Linked DNA regions of Styela clava. The protein of the gene in region 1 interacts with the protein of each later gene in a pairwise test. Links are inferred from orthologs where the notes say so. Each region holds a gene or a part of one and is shown in the gene's direction. Other genes may lie near its edges.

Evidence for each region.
Region 2: the proteins of MYCBP-associated protein-like (region 1) and c-Myc-binding protein-like interact in binary tests that used the Homo sapiens proteins (3 or more experiments, as listed by UniProt). The link is inferred for Styela clava from reciprocal best matches to the Homo sapiens genes MYCBPAP and MYCBP.

Annotation. Positions count from the first base shown.
Region 1 is NC_135263.1:16,711,518-16,723,895, forward strand, and holds the start of MYCBP-associated protein-like, read left to right. Parts: upstream 1-6,218; 5' UTR 6,219-6,246; coding exon 6,247-6,379; intron 6,380-7,736; coding exon 7,737-7,861; intron 7,862-8,548; coding exon 8,549-8,736; intron 8,737-9,159; coding exon 9,160-9,253; intron 9,254-11,364; coding exon 11,365-11,551; intron 11,552-12,022; coding exon 12,023-12,142; intron 12,143-12,342; coding exon 12,343-12,378. UniProt on the Homo sapiens protein: May play a role in spermatogenesis. May be involved in synaptic processes.
Region 2 is NC_135251.1:13,588,133-13,599,882, forward strand, and holds c-Myc-binding protein-like, read left to right. Parts: upstream 1-9,906; 5' UTR 9,907-10,012; coding exon 10,013-10,318; 3' UTR 10,319-10,867; downstream 10,868-11,750. Other genes in the region: 3-keto-steroid reductase/17-beta-hydroxysteroid dehydrogenase 7-like, read left to right, coding at 1,966-2,009, 4,765-4,977, 5,349-5,429, 5,734-5,848, 5,998-6,119, 6,983-7,163, 7,667-7,906. UniProt on the Homo sapiens protein: May control the transcriptional activity of MYC. Stimulates the activation of E box-dependent transcription by MYC.

The DNA of each region.
Region 1 (12,378 bases):
AGAAAAAAAGCTGGGCCAGCCGGATCGCTCTCCGGTAAAATCTACACGACGTCATTGGTGCTTTTAATAGGATGTGGTGTTTTTTCGCACCTTCAGAATGTACAATTTGTAATCGTAGAGTTTTAAATTCCAGAGTATAATGTATTCTACCGGCGGAATCTTATCAGGGATTAATTCTGCGATGTTATTTGCGTCATCATATCCCACTACGGACGCATTTAGCGAAGGCGTGAGCGCGGCGCATGTGCTGAGAAATCCCTAAAGACCATAGAAACTTTGCGAAAGAACGTATAGTAAATATAATTTCAGTATTATTATGTTTCAAGATATAGGACCTTGTTTATACACTGATCTTTCTCATAATGTTTCAAACCGGATGCGAGTGTAATAACGAAGACAAGTCAACTAAAATACCTGCTGATGAGTAGCGTATCAAAACTAATATTTCGAGACGTACACGTGTAAAAATACAAATTATGTTATACACTGAGCAAAAAATGAATAAAAATGAATAATATACAAAAAAAAAATAGCATGAACAACGGGACATCAAAAATTGCTTGCCATTGCAGACAATTTTGCTATGTGCGGCGGAGAAAAAACTTATCAAATTTTATTTAAATCCGTCTCTTTTCATGCAAACATAGATTGAACATTCGAGATCATTCAAAATTAGTTCGGTCTGTATATAGCTTTTTTTTTGGTTTCAGAATGAATAGTGTATATATGGTTCCATTACATTTGAACCCACATACATTTGAATTCACGACAATTGCACCTGCATACTATTGCACCTATGGAATTTTTTGTTTTTGTTTTACGAATATTTGAACCCATACTAACACTAACCCATGGGTTTTCGCATCCGCATATAGATTGAACCCGCGGATATACACATGGGTTCAAATGTACGTGGGTTCAAATGTACGGTCACCGTATATATATATATTATATATTTATTTGGAAAAATTGTCATGCTAAGAATTTGCAACATTACATATTAAAGAAATGAGCTCCATTCAAATCTGATCGGGCTGCCTGCAGAATATTATGTTATTTGGTTTTCACAAATTACTGGCAGTAAAACAAATAATTTAAAAAAGAATATTAACGACATACTTGTACTATTAATTGTCAATTCGAGCTGATGGATAACAGTGATCAGAAATGCATTACTAAACAATTACCCCAACAGCGAGCAATACCAACTACCGATTGTGATTAATGAACGTAAAACAAATGCGATTTAATTAAGCGGAATTCACAAGTCTCTGTGGGGTAGAATTTAATTAGGAAAAACATTGACAGAAAAGAGTTCATATTAGTTCACAGAGATTTCAAACGTCCAAAGTAGGCCGCGATGTACATCGATAGCGTTCTTCATGTTATCTAAGACGGAAGCAAGAATGGGCCTCGCCTATTCATACATAGCCCTATCTATAGGGTCATACTGCACTAATAAATTGATTTTCCATGGTTTCATATTGAAAAAACACTGTTAATTTGTAACTCAACGACCATAATAGGAAGCTGAGTATTTTCATCAAACAGTTCCGAACAATTAAATTTATTCCGCTCAACTATTTAATTATGCGTTAAGCTCATAAAAACTGCCTCTCACATTCTAATTATTATGGTAATGTAAAGTAAACTCTCGTATAAACTGTAAATTAACTGTATACATCACAATAAACGAACTCTGAAATAACGTGAATCTTGAACGCTTGGAAGATCAATATTTTAAACATAAAGAGATTACCCTAACGACCGATTTTTAGGGGCCTCTTACTGGAAATAGCACAAACATTTATTGCCGATATATAAAGAAAAACGAATGAGCGAGGCGAAGAATAGCTTCAAGTTTTCTTGCACCGTTTCAAAACTTCTGACTCGAATCTTTCTAAGCGAAATATTGTGCATCTTCGCCAGATATCTTCATAGCTCTATTTGTTATCACACAGTTATTACCAATGAGGCTATTACCGACTGTTGACTGTTTCTCCAATGATGCAAGCTTCCAAAATAAAAATATGTCAAAATCCCGATGGTGACGGTTGATAATTGAAATCCCTACGGGCTTTTATATTCCACAATCTATAGACACTGAGGCAATAGGCAACAATACTACGTACGATTGGCCGAATCACTCTTGTACGCGACCGATTATATCAGCATACAGCTGTTCTGACGAAGAACGTAGAACTCCTAACTCAGAGTACGAAACAGCTGTACACTCGTGAAACGTAAGATAGGGAGACATTTCAAGGACTTCTGCGGAACATCAACACAGATTTCCCTCGTACCTTCCAGAACTTAACATTTGTTCGATCTTGTTACTTTTACAACGTATTAAATGATAATGAGATTCGATCCGCGCTTGGGCCACAAATAAATTTTAACTTTCCGTGAGTAAATTCATTTTAATCTTATCCCAGTTGTTCGCAGCTTCATGGAATATAGCAAAATATTTTATTAGTAACAGTGAAATTTCCCCCTATGTTATTGCGCGGACATTACCCTCGGTGATAATGAGGAATGGCATCTCATCAAAGGTGGCTTTTGCTTTTAAGAGATAAATAAATTTAATTAGAAAAAGCTTAAAGGACAATATGAAACAAAAATCATCGCACTGGGAAAGGAAAGTATTGTTAACTTCTGTTCGTTTTAACTTGCAACTTGACTTTGATCCAAGGTCGCAACTACTGAAAACGAAAACGAAAATTTCAATTCTCGTATAATAGAAACTTTTACCTTTGAATTTGGATTAGTGATGTAATTTAATACCGCATAAAATCTATTATCCCACGCATTAGTAACCATGTTTCAAATTAAGATAAAAATACAATGCACAGGCGATTCAAAATGAAGTTTTCATTGGCAACAAAATTAGAAATATTTCGAATTAGAAATCAACTTTACTACAAGTTATTAAAATTTTAAAGTGAAAGATTAAAGGACTCGTTCTTGCTTGGTGTAAATTAACCATTAGCACGTCTACACAACTACCTATATATATAGGAAACTATACGTCAGTTGATATACTTATCTATGACAGAATTTGCCATTTGTATTCACCATGACATCATTAAAGGGGATACGCTTATGCTTGTAACTTCATCTCGGGTAAAAATTGAATAGGAATTTTGAAATAAAATTATTCATTGTTCAACATAACAAGTTTTCCCGAGTCTCGAGTCAAATCCGAGGTCCAGCTAATTTAAGAGTTTGAGTCTTGAGTCACAAGTTAAGTCGGGTTCGAGTAATAGTGGATTTCATAAACAACGATGAAATGGAAAATATTTCCCATATTTACCCTGTCATCTTTCTTAAAATCAAAGTTATTTTGAAAGTCAAAACTAGGATTTATTCAAGTATTGACAACATTCACCTAGGTATCGACACGGACTATTTTGAACTATTGATTACATAATCTTGCGAGTTTCAGATTATTTCAAAACAATATTTATCTGAATCGTATTTCAGGGAAATTGATATTTATATAGCCGACTGAAGTCCATTTTCTCTGTCTTTTTGTCCAGCCGTTCGAGTCGAGTCTTTTTATTCATATGATAGAAAAGACTAGAGCTTTTCGAGCCTGCCAAACCCCCGCGCTATTCGGCATGCTCCCGCCGAATCCCATCGCACTCAACGGTTGAAATTAGGAGCCCAATCCTAACTTTATAAGAGGGCAGCTAATTTCGTGCAAGGTTTTAGAAAACGAACACTATGGTTTACCTTAGATATCAATACCCCGTGTGGAAATAGCCATTGTTTTGTCATAATAGTGTCGGCGGCAGGGAAACAGATAAAAATAGCAACTTTGAAAATCCAAAAGATGATAATATGCCTCAAAATTCAAAAACGTTGGTACTTCAAACCATTCGTTTCTCAAACGGCATTGAAAGGGAAAAACAAATTTCGGCAATTGTATTATTATTATTTTTGCATAATTAGTATGACGAGGTAATACAAAAGTCCAATAATATAAAACTGTTCCAGACGACCTCCGTCGAACCCCTGGAACAGCTCCACCAAACCCCAGGGGTTCGATCGAACCCAGGTTAAAAACCATTGGGCTAGAGTCTGAATTGAGACAAGTTAATGATGACTCGAGTATACACAACACTACTTATCATCCGCGGAATCAGTAATGGGGATGTGACCGCATTTTCACAACTAATGCAGAGGTAAGTTAAGCGGGTACAGCTTTATATACACTTTAAATTCTATTACGTATATTATCATCAAAATGTGTTAAGCCTCTCCAAATTTATCAGGAGAGTATGCTTTAATTTGACGTCACCCAAGCTTGCGGAAGATTCAGACATCGTATCAAACCGTAAATATGATCAAACAGATAGTAGTCGAGAGAGCCTAGGCCAGGGTGGTCCAAACCCAAGCCCGCGGGCCACATGTGGCCCGTCGCTTCAATACCTGTGGCCCGCGTCGCATTTGCGCATGGGTAAACAAAAATTCGCATTTGGTGTTGTTTCGTCATAAAAATAACCAGAAAAATCTTTTGACATATTGTTACATCACTAATTTCACTGAATTGACTAGTATTTTGGCTAGCTGAGGCAACTAGCAAAGTTGAATGATGTGCTTGGCAGTCTAAATTTTTATCTGGCTTTCCATCTTTTTGGTCGAGAATATATGCTAACAAAATAGGTTTCATAGAAAACTGAAAACCGAATGGAGATCTATCAGCGCCTAATAACCAAATATTAATGTTATGTCCGAACAATACTATTCCCGCTGGGTGGTTTTTTGTAACCAGCCTAAACAGTATTAAAATGCTGCCTATATGTCAGAAAATTTGGCAATTACCCTCCTGTATCTTAAATTTGGTAAAATTAGGTAATCAATCAATCTGCAGTTACTTGTAAGTTAATTTGTAAACATGAGTTTGAAAATAAAGCTGACCAATTCAAACATATTTTTGACTGGGTGTGAGGGAAAATACCACAATGCTTGCTTGATATGTCCGCAAGTTGTGTCGGTGACAATTTAATACTGCAGTTTCTCTTTGTGACACTTTCTCCGTTATGAAAAGTTTGAAATCTTACACTAAATGTAGATATAGTAATATTTTTGCACGTTTTAGTGATTTTGTTTTTGTAGTTTTTGCATGCTTTAGCCTAAAAAAATGTCAAATAATGATCAATGTATTTGACAATAAAGGTCTTTTGTTTTGTATTGCACTGTTTACATATTCTTGGCACTATTTTGGCCCGCGACTATTACAAAAATGATAGTGTGGCCCGGGAGGTCGACAACCATGGACCACCCTGGCCTAGGACCTAGAAAAACTACGAGCAAATTGCACGGTACTGCCTCTTGTGGGGTCTGTGATACCAAGGCAACGTCGACGCCAACAGTGGGTCAATGTAGAATTGTAGAAACGATAACTTTTCCTTCGAAGTGTTTCCTTCCGTATATTCGTCTTTTATTGAAAAATTACAACTGGTTTAAAATATGGTGTTAACTTCAAACATCAAAGAATCAGTTAATAGCCGACAAGCAGGTAATAAAGTATCAAGTCGAAGTTTCAACAGCTTGAAAGGTCAGCATAATGGAACTGCTGCAGGTCAGTTTCCAGACGTAAAATAATTTAGATTTCTAACTTACTTAATACACTATTACACCACCATCGCTGGATCTGGCAGTCTGGTGAGGTGAAAAAAGTCAAGAAAAGATTCAAGAAGTTCAAAGATATTTTTTCAAACTACACCATACTAGTCTACAAAAAAATAAAAATACGTGAGAAAAACTCACATGACCGGAATTTGGGGATGTTACAAACTTAAAATGATGTTCACTTATGCAGATATTGGACCTAAAAGTACCACATTAGTATTTTATATCTGACAAGTACCACACTAAAACGCTTAACAGTTCAAATTCTGGCCAGCGAGCCTCCTGTCAGCCTGTTGCACACCCTGTTCTAAAGGGAAATACTGAAATAGAATGAGTCTGCACGAATGTATATATATATATATAAAATTTTGCGCGATCGTTGACTCGTACTAAGCGTTATTAAGACACTTGCCTTAACATTGCTGATTCCTCTGTAGGGATAATTATTGGAAAGAGGATTTCTAGACTGCCCCCCTAAGTCCATGAATTTGAAATCGATAACTGGTAAACTATTCCCATACTGAACATGGACTGATATCCAGAAATGAGATCCCGAACTTTTGTTATGTTTAATATTGTGTGAAAGTCTTAAAGTAATTATACTGTAAAATGTGGAAGCAAGCTGCTCATTCCGCTATATCAAAAGATAGGATTGAGCGAAAAAATACAGGGGGTTTAAGTGTTTCATCAAATCAAGCACAACAACCTGGTGATGAAGTTGAAGATGGAGAATTAGATACTGGTATCAGCGTGTGCTCTTGCTGTGAGATATTGATGAGTTTTGAACAAGTTGCATTAACCTTTTTTTTAAGTTTTGGAAAGTGTCAAACTAGCTAGTTTTGTGAGATTTCAGGTTTTGTGTTCCAATTAATCGAATCATCAATGTATGTAAACTTGGAGATAATCAATGTTAAATATTAACACCAACATTTCCGACTAATTTATGACTGATATATATAGATTGAATTTACTCATACCATATAACGTTAGTTCGAGTTAAAACCATATATAAACACTGATTAAAATAAAACAAACCTGGTGAAGATATATGTTAAGAACTGACTTTCGTAACACAATTGAAATTGTAACAGAATTTTATGAATACTTTGCAGCTAAATGTTTTTCTCTAATATAAGTACTGAGTTAGTGCATATGACATTGCTTGAATTTTTCAACCTATTTTGGATAATTTCTCATGCAGTTAGGATTTAATAATAATTTTTTTAGAAAAATATCAAAATTTTTGTTACACTTGTATCCAGAATTCATATGGTGCTTTACATTTCATTTTAAATTTTGTTGAAATTCTTTTGAGTTAACTGTCTATGTTGGCAGACTAGATAGCAAGTTTTCTATTGTTTAGCAATCAAACTTGGATATAAGTACACTATAGAAAGCTATGTGTCATAAGTGATACGTCTATGAACGTTTATAATATATGGAAATTTCAGTAAAAGTCAGGTTCCAGTTTACCAAAAAAAAAAAAAATTCCTCAACATATTTATTATTTTTGTGTAACTGAGTGGCTACTTTTTCCTAGAACTGGCCCTGACACCATTTATAGTTTCTTGAAGTTTGTTATTTAACCATTAAAACATTGCTTTTATTTGTTTCATTAGATGTGGTTTAACCATTGCATAACCAATAGCAAAACAAATATAGAATTTTTATTTTAAAGTTTTGAACAATTAAAATCTCTAACTTGCAATGGTATATTCATATTCTATTCAAAATGTATCCAAGCTACTTCTTCAAAGACTCTTTACTTGAAGTTGATAATTCTGTAATAAGTGTCATCAAATAATATTAAACTTTGTAAATTAGTTTGCATATTCTTATTAGTAAACTATTTAGGTCTAAAGAAGGCCCAAGCTGTCCAAAGCATAATAACATTTAAGAAGTATAAAATAAATGCTTTTCATAACTTTTTTGCTAGAATTTAGTAATTTTTTTTTTGTGTAACAAATGACTTCTGAATTATTTGAAATATAAAATACCTAAATGGTATTCTAAGATGGGATCTTCAATACCATAGTTAGAAAACAAATTTAAATAGCTACTGATCTCATCAATGTCTTAATTTTTTCTTTGTTTTATAGAAAAGGGAAAAAAGAAAGGGGCTGGTTCACCAGATCAAGCAATATCACCCAGAAAATCAGGAAGTGACATCTTGAATAGTGATGACATTCAGAAGTTATCAATCAGAGATGAAGATCTGCAGAAAGTTTGTTCCTAGTGTTTTTGTTTCCCAGTTTTTTTTTATTATACAAGAATATCTATATAAAGTATCTTGCTTTGTGAATCTAGTAATCATGCTAAACCTTGTAACATCCTCACAATCACATTGCTAATTACTCTTCATAGTGGGGACAGATTCAAATCCATGAGGGATCATGTGCAAGAAAGTTGTCAGGCTTTTTGCAATTTTAGCATGTTCAGGTCATTCTATAGTTTGTTTTTTATATAACACTTATTCATGGCTTTTTCGCCCTGAACAAAGCAACCAACGATGGGTACAAAGCTACTGTTTTTGGAAGGACTGAAATCTCTCCAGTTCGGCATTCAGCCTACTCAATTTAATACACCCTGGATGAGGTGGTGGCCATGGGATTTGATTCCAAGATGTGCAACATTAAGTATACCCATTAATTAACCAGACGCCCATTTTGACGTTATAGCTTACCCCACCAACTATGTCCAGGCATCGCAATAAATCTAACTGTCTGACTATCTTGATCAGGACTAGTAACCACACAAGAAGTCTGCATACTCAGTCTGAGATTGTTACTATATACGTTTCAGCGAGCTCGTAATAGATTGTCATTTTATTGGGATAAATATATTGCACCAAAAATGGAATTACCTACAAAATGCTGATATATATTCAGACATTTATCTTTTGCTTGTACAGGTTAGGAAATCACATGAAATCACATCAGAGAGAAGTACAAAACCGATAGAAACAAGTAGATATAAGGTTAAAAAACAAAAACCTCAATCTGAGCAAGAAAAACAACAGAAAAAAGTAATTGTTGCACGTACTGCTCCTGCTGATGCTGAACTCAAACCTATTGATTATTCTGGACCGTCAGGACCAAGGTATGTTAACTAGTATCAGTTATGGGATTCAGACGGTTCGTGCGAACATGTTTTCAGAATGCTGTGATAATGGGCAGAAAGGTTCTTGTTTTGTTTTTGTTTCCATACTAAACGACCCCAGCAAATGGGTAACAAACACCACAGCTAACGACTAGTGGTAAATTTGAAATTTTGAAAGTAATGTATTCAGCATATGTATATGAGATAATAAAACATGACTTAAAAGCCTATGTTGCTATGTTGAAGTGTGCCTTTATAGATATTTTAAATGTTAGAAGAATTTAAATCTTTTTCAATATACTAGTTATCAATAATTTAATGGTATATTACAAATTGTACGAATAAAAGTTGATCCCTGTGCTTTTGTGAGCTACCATAGTCCATAAGTAATGACTTTTGAACATTTTTAATTTATTTTGTAAGGTACAATCACCAGACAGGTGAAATAATATCACATAGTTTGCTTGGATCAGTTGAAGATTTTGTATCTGAAGCCGTTAAGCTAAATTTCATCAGGGTAAGGTTATATTTTATAAACATATTTTCATATCATATAGTCTGGTAGTCTGGTACAAGCCGGTCTTTTGTGAAATAACTGTTTACTTTCTAAACAAAATTATATAAGCTACATGGATTGGGTGTTTTTTTGATTTTTACCTGAATGACGAGGAATTGAACTTGCTTTGAGCATTATCATATATACATTTATTCATCATATTATATCATATTTTGGTCGTAGGTGTCCCAAAAACAGAACCTAGGTGATTTGTAACATATTCTACAGATATCATAGCTTTTGTGCAAAGTGTCCTAGATCATAGATTCTCAAAGTGCTCCCAGAGCCCCAGGGCTCCGTTAGAGAAACCCAGGGGCTTCACGAGCTATTCGATTACTTTTCAAAATACTGGATTTGCTAATTTTGTAACTGTTAAAAGAAGCAATAACAGCTTTGATAAAATTTGACAACAATATAGCCTCGAAATATGGCAAAGAGACGGAATTAAAAAATGACATTATTTATAAGCATGAGCGTAGCCAGGTTTCTTAAGACGGAAGGATATCAAAATTGGAATCGGAAATTTCCATGCAACATTATTTGCGATTAAAAAAAAACGGAAAACGAGATTTTTGTTGCGTAAAATATTCAATCCATGATCGATGCGAGCATTTAAAGTGTCTTGTCGTAATGATTCAATTGGGCTCATAGTTACTCACGTTTGATTCGAGATAACTATTAGGATTACTAAAATGAAAGAATACTATTCTGAAATAACATAAAATACGCGATAAACTGCCATCTATAAATAAATTGCAGTCGTATTTTTGCGATCTTGGTAGGCTACATCGCACGCACAATTGACTGTGGTCCCGTTTCGCAGTTAATACGATGAATAACCAAAGAAAACCTAACATAAACCAAATTTTGTGATTTAAAATGTCTATAAAAGCGTTTTAAATCTGTCGTGAGTCTGCTGAAACAAAACGTATAGTGTTATCTTCCATTTTAAGTTTTAATTTTAATATTTTAGAATGCCGCTTTTCAATCAAGAAATTTGAGTTGCGGATTCATCTCTTTACTATTTTTAGCATTTCGTCTCCGACGACTATAATATGGTAACATGTTTTTTCACACTGAACTCATAATTCCCCACGAGAACAAAAAAGCAATACTCGTCGACTCGTCGTCATTGTGGAACAATACATGTATATGCCGAAGGAAATTTTCGATTTAGGGAGAATAAACACCGCCATGCTGACGAAAATATTCGGCACTTGTAACAAAATGCAATCGCCTACGGTATTAGCGGCCTTTTAATTCTTTCAAAAATGTCTAAAGATTCGACCCCTAATTTATTAATATGTTTGTCAAGTGTCAAATTTACAGCTTTGGTATATATAATTTATCTTTGACATTTAGATTCATTTATGACTTGTAATATCCCTATTAAAGGAGGTTAGCATTTAAATTAATTAAGTAAAGTACTTTTAAATCACTCAGGAATATTATTCGGAAAATAACAATTTTAACATTTATTTTGGGGCTCGTGAATAATAGTCAACTTTTTCAAGGGCTCCGCAACACAAAAAGTTTGAGAACCCCTGGTCTAGATAACTAAAACTCGAGAGTACAATCAAAGTTAAGATGTTAATTAAATTTTCTTCCTTTTTTAAGAAGTAATTATGAAATCAAGGATTTTGTTATTTTGGGCACTCTGTATGGTAAAAACGATTCCTGGATATTTGCATTTTAGTTATACTCTTCTTTGCAATGTATAATATAAACAAACATCTTTTAAAATTGAATATATAAATAGGTTTGTACACATATCTCCGCAGCAGAACCAAGTAGCTTATGCATTATGCCTCATTTTAACGTTTTGTGAAATTTGTTTTAAAAGATCGCTTCTAACAGCCAAGCATAAGGTCATTTTAAGGCTCCGCCTAAAATTTAAACTAAAACAGGTACAGCTTTAAAACTAAAACCACAAGATAGTTCTGGTCGATGATGGCAGAAGACAAAAAGTTTTTTCGTTTACAGCAGTTATATGTTGAATCTAATATTTTTGAATGTGTTTTTCGCAACATTTTTTCCAAGCTTAGACAAAGCATCGTTAATTAATATTTCAGCCTGATTCAAGATCAACTGCAGTTTTGACACCGGTTCAAGTATCTCATAAAATAAATATCAAACCATCTAAAGCTCAACCAAGACCAAAAAGTCCGAAAATAAAAATGGCTTTGAATCAAGGAAATGCTCTTCAAAATTGGCAACGAAAAATGGCAGATAGAAAACGTCAACAGGGATTTATTTCAAGTAATTATATTATTTTTGTCCTAAAACAATTGACTACCTAGCTTATATTTTATATTTAAGTAGTTTTTTGTTATGGATATCCAAAGAAATTTACTAATGTAGTGAAAAATATGTCTGATATTAGTCATACCATTACTTTGTACCCGAAATAATTGTTCATTAACAGCTGTTATTTTTTGTAGTGATTGTGATTTATCATTTAGAATGCATGCAATGAAATTTTTGGAAGTCACCATTAAAATGTTAATATAAAGTGTATATAGCTTTATTTTTGCTACTTGACAGTAATTAAAATTGATTTATGTATGACACTTTAACTACTTCAACCTATATTGTTGGATAAGTAAATGTACACAAATTCTGTGGAGCGAAAGTTGATTATATCTTGAAGTCCCAGACTATCAGGCTGTTTTACTTGGCACAGTATGTTATTGCAAAGTATTAAAATTCATTTAATGATTTTAAATTTAGAATTACTTCAGAAACCCATTGATCGTTTGGTTATGCATAAAGATGATGAATTCAGAAAAGTGCAAGAATTAAGAACTCTCGTTGATCGGGCTATTCCTGCTGTTGATTATGGAAAAGGATGTGAGTTAATAATTCTACTATTTGCTTTTTAAATTGTACCTTGCTTCTAGATTTTTGTTCAAGTCAAGTTCATTTTTTTCAACCAGTGCAGAAATCAATCCTACACAAATTACAAAAAAACATGATAATTACACCGTTTCACTGAAGAAACTGCAGTGACAACCAAATGTGAAAATTCAATGAATAACATATTATTTCAGATCGAGTCGGAAGTGAATTTTGGAGACAACATGAAA
Region 2 (11,750 bases), on another chromosome or scaffold:
ATACCACGCTTCTCCGTGGTAGTATATATAATAAATATATATTATTATATATCCTCGTGTGTTCCAACTGTTGTGTATAGAGAAAGTTATTTGTGATTTAATTACTATTATCGAATGTTTATATCTAAAGTGTCCCAAATCAACGCATACAGTGTTAAATATTGTTACATCCATTCCTTTCCACCAAATAACTTTTTTCATCAATCCTTGAACCAATATGTTGTATCTCTAATACATTTTACTGCAAAACCTGAATGGTCTGGACCAGGGTCGTCCAACCTTTTTGGCCGAAGGGCCACATGTAATTTACTAATAATTGCGCGGGTCACTTAACATGGTAGTTATGTTCTAGTTTTGCTACGGGCTAATGAAATAACAAACAATGCCCTCACACCGAAGTTTCACAATTATCAGAACAATAAAACTGTTGTTTCCCAATATAGGGCGCCATCGATGGTTATTCCCGAAAGTTTCGTCAAAGACAAGCCAAGACGCTTAATCATTTTTATAACAGCTTCTAACAAACCAACGTCTCTAGCCGTACCATTAACAGGGAAAATGGCTGCGAGCTCTTCGGTAATTTCAAATCATCATTAACTCCCCGAAAAAAGATCGCCAAGTCGCCAACTGAGCAGTAAACTTGATGCCAGTGCTTTCGTTAAGCGCTTTTCCCGCCTTTGCAATTACAATTTCTGCTATAGAGTTCCCAATCTCTTCAACACGACGAGTTATGGTCCGTCTTGACAGGCCATTTTTGCAAACACCTTTTTTATTTTCGGGCGTAAAAACATTGGCAACCCGAACAATACATAACATCAACAAATTCTCAATCTGGAAATGGCTTCGATTATTTTGCGATAACATCATATAGAGTAGTAAAAAACCAAGTGTGTGTGTAGGCGACTATGGCATCTTTATGTATCGATTATGTATCCCAGTTGATTTCGATTCAAAATGGCACTCATAGCTCGTTTGAAAGGGCTGGCAGAGCGCATTTAAGGAAAATGAACAAATCGTTTGTATCACATCTTTGTATACTACATTAATCAAAAAATAATTTCACTTTATTTTTTTTTTAATTCTGAAAAAAATACAGCGCGGGCCACTCGAAATGCTTTCGCGGGCCACATATGACCCGCGGGCCACGAGTTGGACGACCCTGGTCTGGACTAATGAATTGTACTGTGAAAATAAATTTTTATCTCATTCGGTTAGTCTCATTTATGCTCCTAATTTTATTTTTCTATTCATTCTATGTATACTGTAATAAAATTTACCCCATGTACGCACATTGTTAATCCATGCCCACTTACATTCAATACTATTAAAAAAAATGGCAAATTGTCAAAGTATTTGGTATCCTAGTTAACCCATTTCACTTCAAGCATTTCTATAGATACTATGCAATATATAACAAACTTTCAACTAAATATACTACAAAACAGTATTTTTCAACACGAAATTTCTTGTTTTTAAAAATGAGAAAGTCTTGTAAATAGTGTATATAATGAATAAACGAGAGGTATTGTATTTCCTTACACCGTACCTGATGATTTATTTTATTACTAATAATATAATTGTATGGGTGGCAACAGACTCTGCTGACCCCAAAAGGTCGTATCGTTGTCTTATACCAAAGCATCTGTTTTTTTTATTATTTATATATTCATGCATGTATTGTGTGTTTCATGGTTTGACCGTAAATATATGTTTGACAAATAAAAATAAACTCTCTCTCTCAACCGTAAATATATACTACTATCTATTTGCTATCATATATATATTGTATGTGTTTTCTGGTTTGACGAAACAAAAAGTTCTCTCTCTCTCTACTACGGTTCAACTTGGTAGTGGTACTTTCCCGAATATGACGCCCGCCAGATGTTTCGTTGGAGACGTGACGCCACAAATGCAAAAGGCTGAACTGAGATACCGGTAGGTCGTGAAGTAGTAGAGAGCAGGGAAATGGCGTTGCCAACTAAAGTTCTTGTAATAACTGGAGCAACAAGGTAACAGTTTTATTCTCTACCATTTTTGCAAGAAATTTGTTTACTGTTATATGGCATGACCGCACGCGGATTTTGCGATATGGGTTTTTAATTTACTTCTTGTATGATTGCACCTTTTCTGTCATTTTAACTGGATATCAGTGTGTTGGCTAAACGCCTCGTCTATCATGGATTTATTATTATCTAGATCAGGGCTTTTGAGCTTTTTAATACCATATATTAATTTTCTACGGCCCTTGTTCGAGTTAATACTGCTAAACAGCTCGAAATATGCATTTTTGATGTTTAATTGACACAGCTAGACTAATTCTCAACTTTTAGTAGGCCTACTCAATTACAAAAACAAGCACATATTTATTCAGATTAACGCTACTCAATTATTCAGTGTAATAGGTGCGAATACTTTTTGCTGTATAGCAAGTCCAGCCTCGGCTCAATGTTTGTTTATGCAGGCCTAAATAATGAATTACGATTTCTGGCCACCGATGGCATGGTCCTTATCCGGAATTGTTCACTCTTATTGATCAAACTCAGCATAAGACAGCGGTTTGTGTGGCGCCGAAGTATCATGGTAAAAAATCATGGCGCATCTACACGAAAAATATGCTGCCTGATAATAAAACACAATTTTGTCATCGTTAATATGTACTTATCTTATCTCTGCCTGGTTTTTCTTTAAAATGCTAAAAAAATCACTGGTGTTCGGCAAATCAATAAACGGCAGCATGCGAAATTGCAGCATGTAGGGTTTACCTCTTCTGTTACGTAACAATATACCCGACATAACAGAGCGTACACAACATAGAACAGTAAAATGAATTTGATTCGTGTACACATCATTCGCAACAATGAGAAACAATAAAACATTTGGAATAAATAAAATATGTAATATATTTCGAGGCGTACTTAGCAAATCGCCTTCGGGAACCGCTAGCTTAATAATTATTAAAGCCGGCATTGTTATGCAAGCACACGCAAATCGGGTCTTACGATCAGAATATACATTGTTATGCAAGCGCGATGATTCTACTGTTTTTTCCCCGAAAATAAAACCAAGCCTGAATTTTGGAAATTATATTAATATAAGCGCTCCCCTTTAAAAAGACTTAGTCTATAGGGCAATTTTTTTGACCTCATCCCGTGGAAGTGCGTCGTTTTAATTTTGCTAGGATGTCGCAAAATTTTATGATTTGTTAACCTTTCAAGCAACCCATATCTTCTACTTTTACAGAAAAAAGGGAAGATTCTATCGATCTTACCTGTGATGGTGTTACAATTTTAATTCTGAAAATTCGGTTTTCTGTAAATTAAGATTATTTTTCTTGGTTCAAAAAGCGTTGCGAGCTCCTATCCCCTTTGCGATTTCGTTTTCATATAGGGAAAACTTTTCTACCAAGGCCCATTAAATATGATTTCACTGACTGTCGTTATGTTTTGTTTGTTCCTTTATATGAAAATCCTTGCAGAAAAAGTCTTCTATTGAAAGGTATCAATACATATTTTCACAGGTAGTTGTAACTTGAGCATATTTTTGGAGGGCGTCACAATTCAATTAAGTTCGAGAACCACTGAGTCCTAGTCGATAGCAAGAAATTTCCACTCAAGAAATTTCTACTCTTTCTACTTTTTAAATCTGTCTAGAATAACTCGTTTATATCGTAGATATTTTGTATAATAAAAATTATTATCGTTATTCTCTGCATTCCCTCAAAATCAGCCCTAGTGTTATTTTCGAAATAAAATTGAAGACACTGAAATCTTATTTACACAGTATGATGATGTGTTCATTAGGAATCGTGAAATTTTTGTTTCACATCATTTTTAATAATTGTATTTCGAATCAAGATTCTGGAAAAGTACAATAGATATAGTACTTTGTATAAAATTGGTGCTCTTTTTGCGGCCCATAATATTGGGGCCCCTAGTTTAGGAAGCCCTGATCTAAATCCATTTGAATGGTACGAAAGTAATCAGACTGTAGTTTAAAGTTAGCCATAACTGCATAAATTAGCTGTTTACCAATGAAGTAATGAATTTTCCCCTGTGTTCTGTTTCCATATAATATTTTTTATTACTGGCTTAAATATGTTAGTAATCCTATTAATATGCATATAATCTTTTGTCTTTCTGGTGATACATTTTTACCACATTTTTCGAGCCCATCATCCACTGATGTAGAGTTTATATATGTATATATATTTTTTTTTTTCCTCTCTTTTCTTACATCGAATGATTGTATATATTATTATTCCCATCATCTAAAGCATATAGAACTTTTATTGTGTAAATGAGTTCCCAATAAAACATGTCCTCCCCCAATAGTTTCCTGAGATTACATCGAATTTTTAATTTTAATTTAAGTATTAATCAACAGACCAAATTTTCTAATAGTCATCTTCAATGTGAACATTAATCACTTCAGCAAATATGGTGGGAGTTGACCTCGACCTCATGCTCGTATCGCTCCCTCCCGCCAATACCAAAGCAATTTTATTTGTGTTATGTATTTTTGTCTTATTACTAACTGTTTGTTTTTGATGGACAAAATAATAAATCTCTCTCTCTCTCCCTATAATAGTATTGCGTTATGTTATACAGTTATACACACGATATTTTATCATTTCCGATATACTATTTTGCAACAAGCTGCTAATAATTTATATCTTTTACATCTTAATTTGAAACAATTTTCATCGTGTTATTTATAATTATATCAGTTTTAAAATTGCTTACACGTTGATGAATTTTTTTTCAGTGGGATTGGTCTCAGCTTCCTTCATAGAATTCTTCTCGAAGTAAGACTTCAATTCCTCATTCGTGTTTGTATTTTGTGTCGAAATATGAGAAAGGGAGAATATGTTCGTTCTACTTTATTGGCATCGCATAAATCTGCTGAAATCGAACTTGTCAACATGGATACTGGAGATTTAAAATCTGTTTTAGAAGGAGTGAATATCATAAAAGAAAAGTATGCATTATGTCATATCATATGTATAATTTGATCTAGAATAGAAAATCTGGAAATACTAGACCCATGGTTTTTATGAATTTTAAACTCCAAATGGTCCTTACACTGAATGGTGAATAGATTCAATAGTACATATTTACATCAACATTTGACATTACAAAGCATTTCTATGCAAAATACTCCAAATTCAAAACATTATTTATTAAACCTTTTTTTCTGAATTGCTTTTCAACTACCTTATTGTCAGGCTTGCTTTTTAATACTCTGTATTGTGAGTTTTACTCTAGATACATGCTATAGGACGATTCATTAATTCTTCACTGCCTATTTCCACATGTTTAAAACTGATTTGATTCAATTTCCTATTTTAGATATAAGAAAATTGACTTTTTGTATCTGAATGCAGGGATTTTACCTGTGAAGAAACTTCATATTTCTGGTCTTTTCAGCCGGTGAGTTCAGCACAGTGAAGCCAATTTAAGTCTTATTAAACCTATCTGTAATAAGTAACAAATTATAGGGTGAAATATTTGTGGTTCCAAAATTAAGTGGGTACCCTTTTTTCATACAAATGTATCGGCATTGCAAGTGCAAATGTATGTGCAGGGAAGTTTGGAGGACTCCATTTTTATTTATACTGCAATTATCATAAATATATTGCTTTTTTCTGTCATGCCAAGTACTTTATTATTATCGATTTGTTGGTATTTTTGTTTACATGTAACAAGTGTAAACAATTTATCATTATTGATATAGGAATGTTCTAGCTCGGTTAAAGACTGGAGAGAATATCATTGAATCTGCCAATCCATTGAATGAATCTGGAATACCACTAGTTTTTGCAACTAACGTTTTGGGACATTTTGTTCTGGTGAGAAAAGTTCTTTATCAACAAAAATATGAGTTCGATCTGTTCGAAACTTGTTAACAATGGAACACTGTTTTTTAATTGGTTTTGATTTATTTTTTTGATATATCTCTATCCTTGATTAACTCTTTTGCATTATTTCTTTGTTTCAGGTTCAGGAATTATTGCCTCTTCTTAGATCTGATGGGCAAGAGAAATCTAAGATTGTGTGGACAGCTTCTAACAATGCTGTAAAAAGCAGTTTTAACATGGATGACTTTATGTGCAATCATGGGTAAAATTTTTTTTTTTTCAGGAACTCATTTAGAGCAGTGCTGTTCAACCTTTTTGTTATTGCGGAACCCCTGATATCGTTTTTCGTTTTTTATGGAACCCCAAATAACAAAAATAAAAATAAAACACGAAATACTCGTAAAACGAAATATTTGTAATTCGAATATTTCTACTTCAAGAACGAAACAGAAAGAAGGTAACAAGCATGAAATTCAATGACTATGTTGTTCTTGCATTTCCTTTCCAATTTTCTTGAATCGTGGCTCCACGGCGCTCAAAGCAATTATCATACTCATGGTTACACTCTTTAAAAACTTCTTTTTTGTTTTTAATAATTGTTAAAGCAGAAAATACTGATTTACACAAATAGGTATTGGGAAATTGACACAGAAGTTTTATTGCTTTTTTTGCAATGGCTCCTACCCTCTTTGTGAAGAAAAATCCAAAAATCTTCCTTCCCATGATTTTCGAAGGTTTCCTCCGAATTAATATCATTACAGATATCTATGAGTCCTTCTTGCTGTTGCGCACTTAGAAATTCATCCAAACACGGAAAAGAATAATAATCATTTTTTGCAACTTTACTGGCCCAGCAGTCAATTTTTCCTTTACGCGGAACCCCAAGGTTCCACGGAACCCCTGTTGAAGAGCACTGATTTAGAGTGTTTTTATTGGTACAATATTAATCTGATAAGGGACTGTATTTCAATTTTCAAAAATTGAATTTTCATTTTACTATACACAGAAATGGCTCGTCTCTACCGAGAAAAGGAGATGATATGCTTTCAACCACCTAATTCCACTCCACTTTCTTTATACATTGCCTTTGTTTTTCGTTAGCGTAGAATCATTTTCTTTATTCAGGAACATGTCATATGGCAGTTCAAAATATATTATTAATGCGTTGAGCATTGCAATGAATCAACGATACAACAGAGAAGGGATTTATAGCCACCTCGCCGAACCTGGTCTTTGCATCACTGCGATGTCAGAAAATATATTACCATTATGGTTATGGAAGATTGTGGAATTTCTCTTTATGCTTGTAAGTGTGAAAGTAAAGGATGTTTTCCAGAAAATTATTTATTTTATCTATTTATTTTTATAAGAAAAACTTGACTTTAATAGTCCTGGAGGCATTTAAAAAATCTGAATATTTTAGATGATGTAGACTAGTCTACTCACTTATTTTTGGCTATTTTCTTCTCTGGTGATCTGTGAATAAACATGTTGATTTCATTCCGATATAAACGTGAATTGTTAGGGTTTATTATAAATACAAGAATTACTTTTTACCAAACTGTTCAGTGTTCACGCTTTGTTCGAGTCTATGACTTGCCAAAGTGATCATGTGTTGTGCACCCCTGGTCCAATAGAACCATAAAACTATCACTATTATTCTCAAACGGGAATTGATTCACTTCGATCTCAAATTTACATGGTAAATTCAAATGGGACTGGTTATTTTTCATCATTTTGGCCATGTTGGACACCTGGAAAGTCACAAATAATCGTTTTTACCAGTAATAATATTTGTTTACCTTATAGTTTCGTCTTGTTGCTCACCATCTGACACTTTCTACTTATAATGGATCTGAATCATTAATCTGGTTGTTCAAACAAGATCCACGAAATTTGAAAAAAAATTACCAATATGAGAGTGCTGTGAACATATTTAATCAGCGATATGTTTCAAATGTTGAGATTGATATTTCTCCTACTGAGGCAGAAACCATATTTCAAAAAATGGTGACAACAACTGAAGAAATCAGAGCTGAAGCAGGGTGATAACATATGCATTGTTGACGAAAGTTTCAAAATGAGAATTGATGAGATTATTATTTTTATGTGCAATTGATTAATCTAGAACAAAAAAGGTAGTACATTTTATTATTTCAGACTAAAATGGAAAATTTTATACTAAACGAGTGACTTTGATGTATAAATTGCCAAATGTATATGTTACCGTGAAAAAATGTTGATATGTAGAAAACTGTGTTTTATCGAATCTTGTATATTATTATATAGCGTTATCACCGGTGGGATTGAAAATTTTAAGAACCGGTTATCTTTTATATCGTACTTACTGACGACAGATTCCCTCTTTTCAGAAAATATATGTATGTCACTATAACCTGGCATCAACATGGCACCTTTACTTACCTAAATCTAATATATAACTTGAAACTGAATGTTATGTTTTATGTAATTAGTTATTATTCTTATTTATGTTCAATACTGTTCATTGTGTTAGTTCTATTGTGGTCTTTGTATTCCATCATTATCCAATAAAACAAATGAAATTAATGTATTTTTACGGCGAACTCTGCATATTTTTTCTATTGCAAAACGAGATTTGAGGGTGTAGGAATTTGGTTCAATAAATAGAAAAGAATCATTTCAAGAATGGCCTGAAGTCGGACGTTCTGCATGCAGTGCTTGTTACTAAAAGTTGCAGCTAAAGCCAGTGAAAGGTGCGCCATCAGCCATCATATGTATTGCATATTTTCTGACTAGGCTTTGTTGCGCTTCTGATTTTAGCGTCAGACAAGACAAGATCATACTTTTTGAACAATTTCCAATCAAACGTTTATTTGAATGCCAATACATAGCAACAAGTTACCAAAACTTCAACTGCAGTTTGAACATTGGCCACATGAGTAGTACATGGGAAATGACCGTCTCAATATTTATTTCGTTTAACTATATTATTTTATTTCCGCTAAAAAAAAATTCACTCGAAAAAATTTATTACTCGAACTCCAAATAACTATTTGTCATTTAACCCTTTCCGTGCGGTGGGCACGTCTACGTACCCACGACAAAACTCGCTAGTTTGCGGCGGGTACGTTGATGTACTCCACTGTTTTATTTAGCAATCGGTCGCAAACTGTTGGTCTAGTTTTTCCGGGTTTTAGTTTATTGATAAGAAGTCTTCTTCGAGATTAACATAAGCGACGGTAAATCTCGCTTTCGTTTACCATGGAAATTTTATTTGCGGCGGAACGAGGGAGTGTTTTTGAAATTTATGCAAATTTCGGTGTGTTTTGGGTGGTAATAGAAGACATATTATCCCTTCCATCTACCAAAGTATTTTGAGTTAGATAACGAAATTGCTACAGCAATATCATGCTATTGTTTGCCAACCAAGAAGCGGTAACAGTAAAGGATTTAGCGAATATTTCTATTTTTTATCACGGTTTGAAGTTTCAACACCCAAGAAAAAAAAATGCCTTTTTTCTATCCGGTTTGTGACTCAGACCACCCCTTTTGGAAAAAAAAAATTTTTCAATCGCCAATTGCAAGCTCTTTAAATAAGCTTTTCAACGAGCCGTCAGTGGGCAGCAGAGGATCATTACTTTTTCGTTAGTCGATCGATTAGTTGTGGGGGTACAAATGCATAAAGTCGGCGTAGCAAATACGATTATTTAATAAAAGATAAAAATCGCATGGAAAGGGTTAAGAACAGACAAAACCCTTGGTCGAGTTTCCCTATTTTTTTCCAAAGATACAAAATTCTAGAATTTATAACCGCTTTATAATAATAAGTATTTTTACTGTGAACTTATTTTAATTGGTGCGAACATGGTGGGAGCTGATCCTGATGACCGTATGGTCGTATCGCTCCCTCCAGTCTATACCGAAGAAACGTTATTCCTATTACTTTATATTTATTATAATTGTATTTGTTATTTCTGGTTGACAAATAATAAATCTCTCTCTCTCTCTCTCATATCTTTTCATCTGACAACCTAAGAAATAACCTCTGACATCATCGCGCCAACAATAGTCGTCGTCGTCTTGGCGATAATCTCTTCCGTTGTTTTCGTTTCACGTCGCTTTTCCTACGCGATTTCTTCGTTACTGGACTGTGTATTCAATCGGAGCCGCAATATGACGACTTATCGAGCTGCAGATTCGAAAAGAGAAGAATTCCGGAAATATCTTGAACAGTCAGGCGTGGTAGATGCCCTAACAAAGGTTTTGGTAAATCTTTATGAGGAGCCGGAAAAACCTTCACAGGCACTGGAATTTCTCCGCCAACATCTCGGAGCAGCAGGACCTGAAACTGCTGATGTGGAGTCTCTACGATTAGAGGTTAGCGAACTCAGGGGAAAAGTATCACAACTCACAGATGAAAATGCAGAACTTAAAAGTAGACTTGAAAAATATGAGCCTTCAGAAGAGGCAACAGAATAAAATATTGGTCACTTCCACTTATGAAAGTGCGGATTTTTATCTAGGGCCCATATCTCAATTAACAAGGAAATGCTGTTATTTTGTCAGTAATGATTTGGCAATGTTTTTAGCGTCTAGTTTACTTCAATATTCACCATTTTAGAGTCTATTTTTTAAAGTCATAGCAACATTGTTCAGAAACGTCAGTCTCATCATACAGTTATAGGCTACCGTATAGCTTGACGAAGTTGTTGCTGCCTTCAATTTTTCAGTTGAAGACAGATTTTTAATTGTACTGAGCAGACCTGTTTTTATGTATGTAAACTGTATCTTTTTTTAAACCAAGAGTGCTCTATTCATAAACGCAAGTATCTCAATATTTCTAAGATCTATGAATTTTTGCTCATCACCTACTCTTTCATGATAAAATTATCTATAAACCTTGTCAGTAATTCTCCAGAATAATCTGTGATCCAATGTTTTGCGTGTATACAGTGTACAATCTTTATTATTTGTTTTTATACTATATTTGGAGTTTGAAAATAAAATTTGTAAATACATTTTTAAAAAGTCTTCTTTTATTCATCAGGAGTATAGCGAAAAAAATGGTCTCATGACGCTATTCCATCAAAAGATTTACATAAAACACTTCTAATAGTTTTTAGTTTCATAATAACTACATCAAGTTACTTCAGCCATGCCTTACAGATTACAAATAAACAGGTTTTGGCAATTGCTTTCTTCTTTTTGTTTACTGTTATCTAAATGAATATTCGTGCTTAATTAACTGATTTCAAGTTTTGTCAAAATACATGTTCGAGAATCGATCCAATGTTAGTTTGTCAGTGTCCGAATTACCACCTCGACCAAAATAGCTGCAAGTTACCACGTTAAAAGTAACTGAGCTTTATTTTTTCTGATCTTTGTTGTTTTTATGTGCTGATCCGTGAATTTTAATATGATAAATATCAGTGGTTGGTTGTACAGGAACTTGCTCAGAGCAGAGGTTAATGAGCACCACATAAAAAAGATTTAACACGGCCCTTCTCAGAGCAAAGAGCATGAATAAGCGCTACATGAAAAAAAATTACCTCAAGCTACGGATATGCTTTGCTGAGTATCTCATATAGGTTGCGAGCAACAGCAATAAAACTCCCTTCTCAAAGCAAATTACCGCAACTTCCTGAAGTAAACGCAGGACCCATAACTCAATAACAAGATCCATATTGTACTGTTCCATTTTATTTTTTTTAACAATTTGGTGCACATTGTTTTGCATGTGTGATCAGTGGATGGAAACAGTTCAATTGTAAATATAAAAATTTCATAAAAAAATTGGCTAAATAATACTGAAGCTGCTGTTTTGACATGCATAAAGCGAAAAAGGTATGTCGACGCAAATTGTAGATAATTATTTTCACACTCCAATTGTTGTTGGAGTGCTTTGATTACG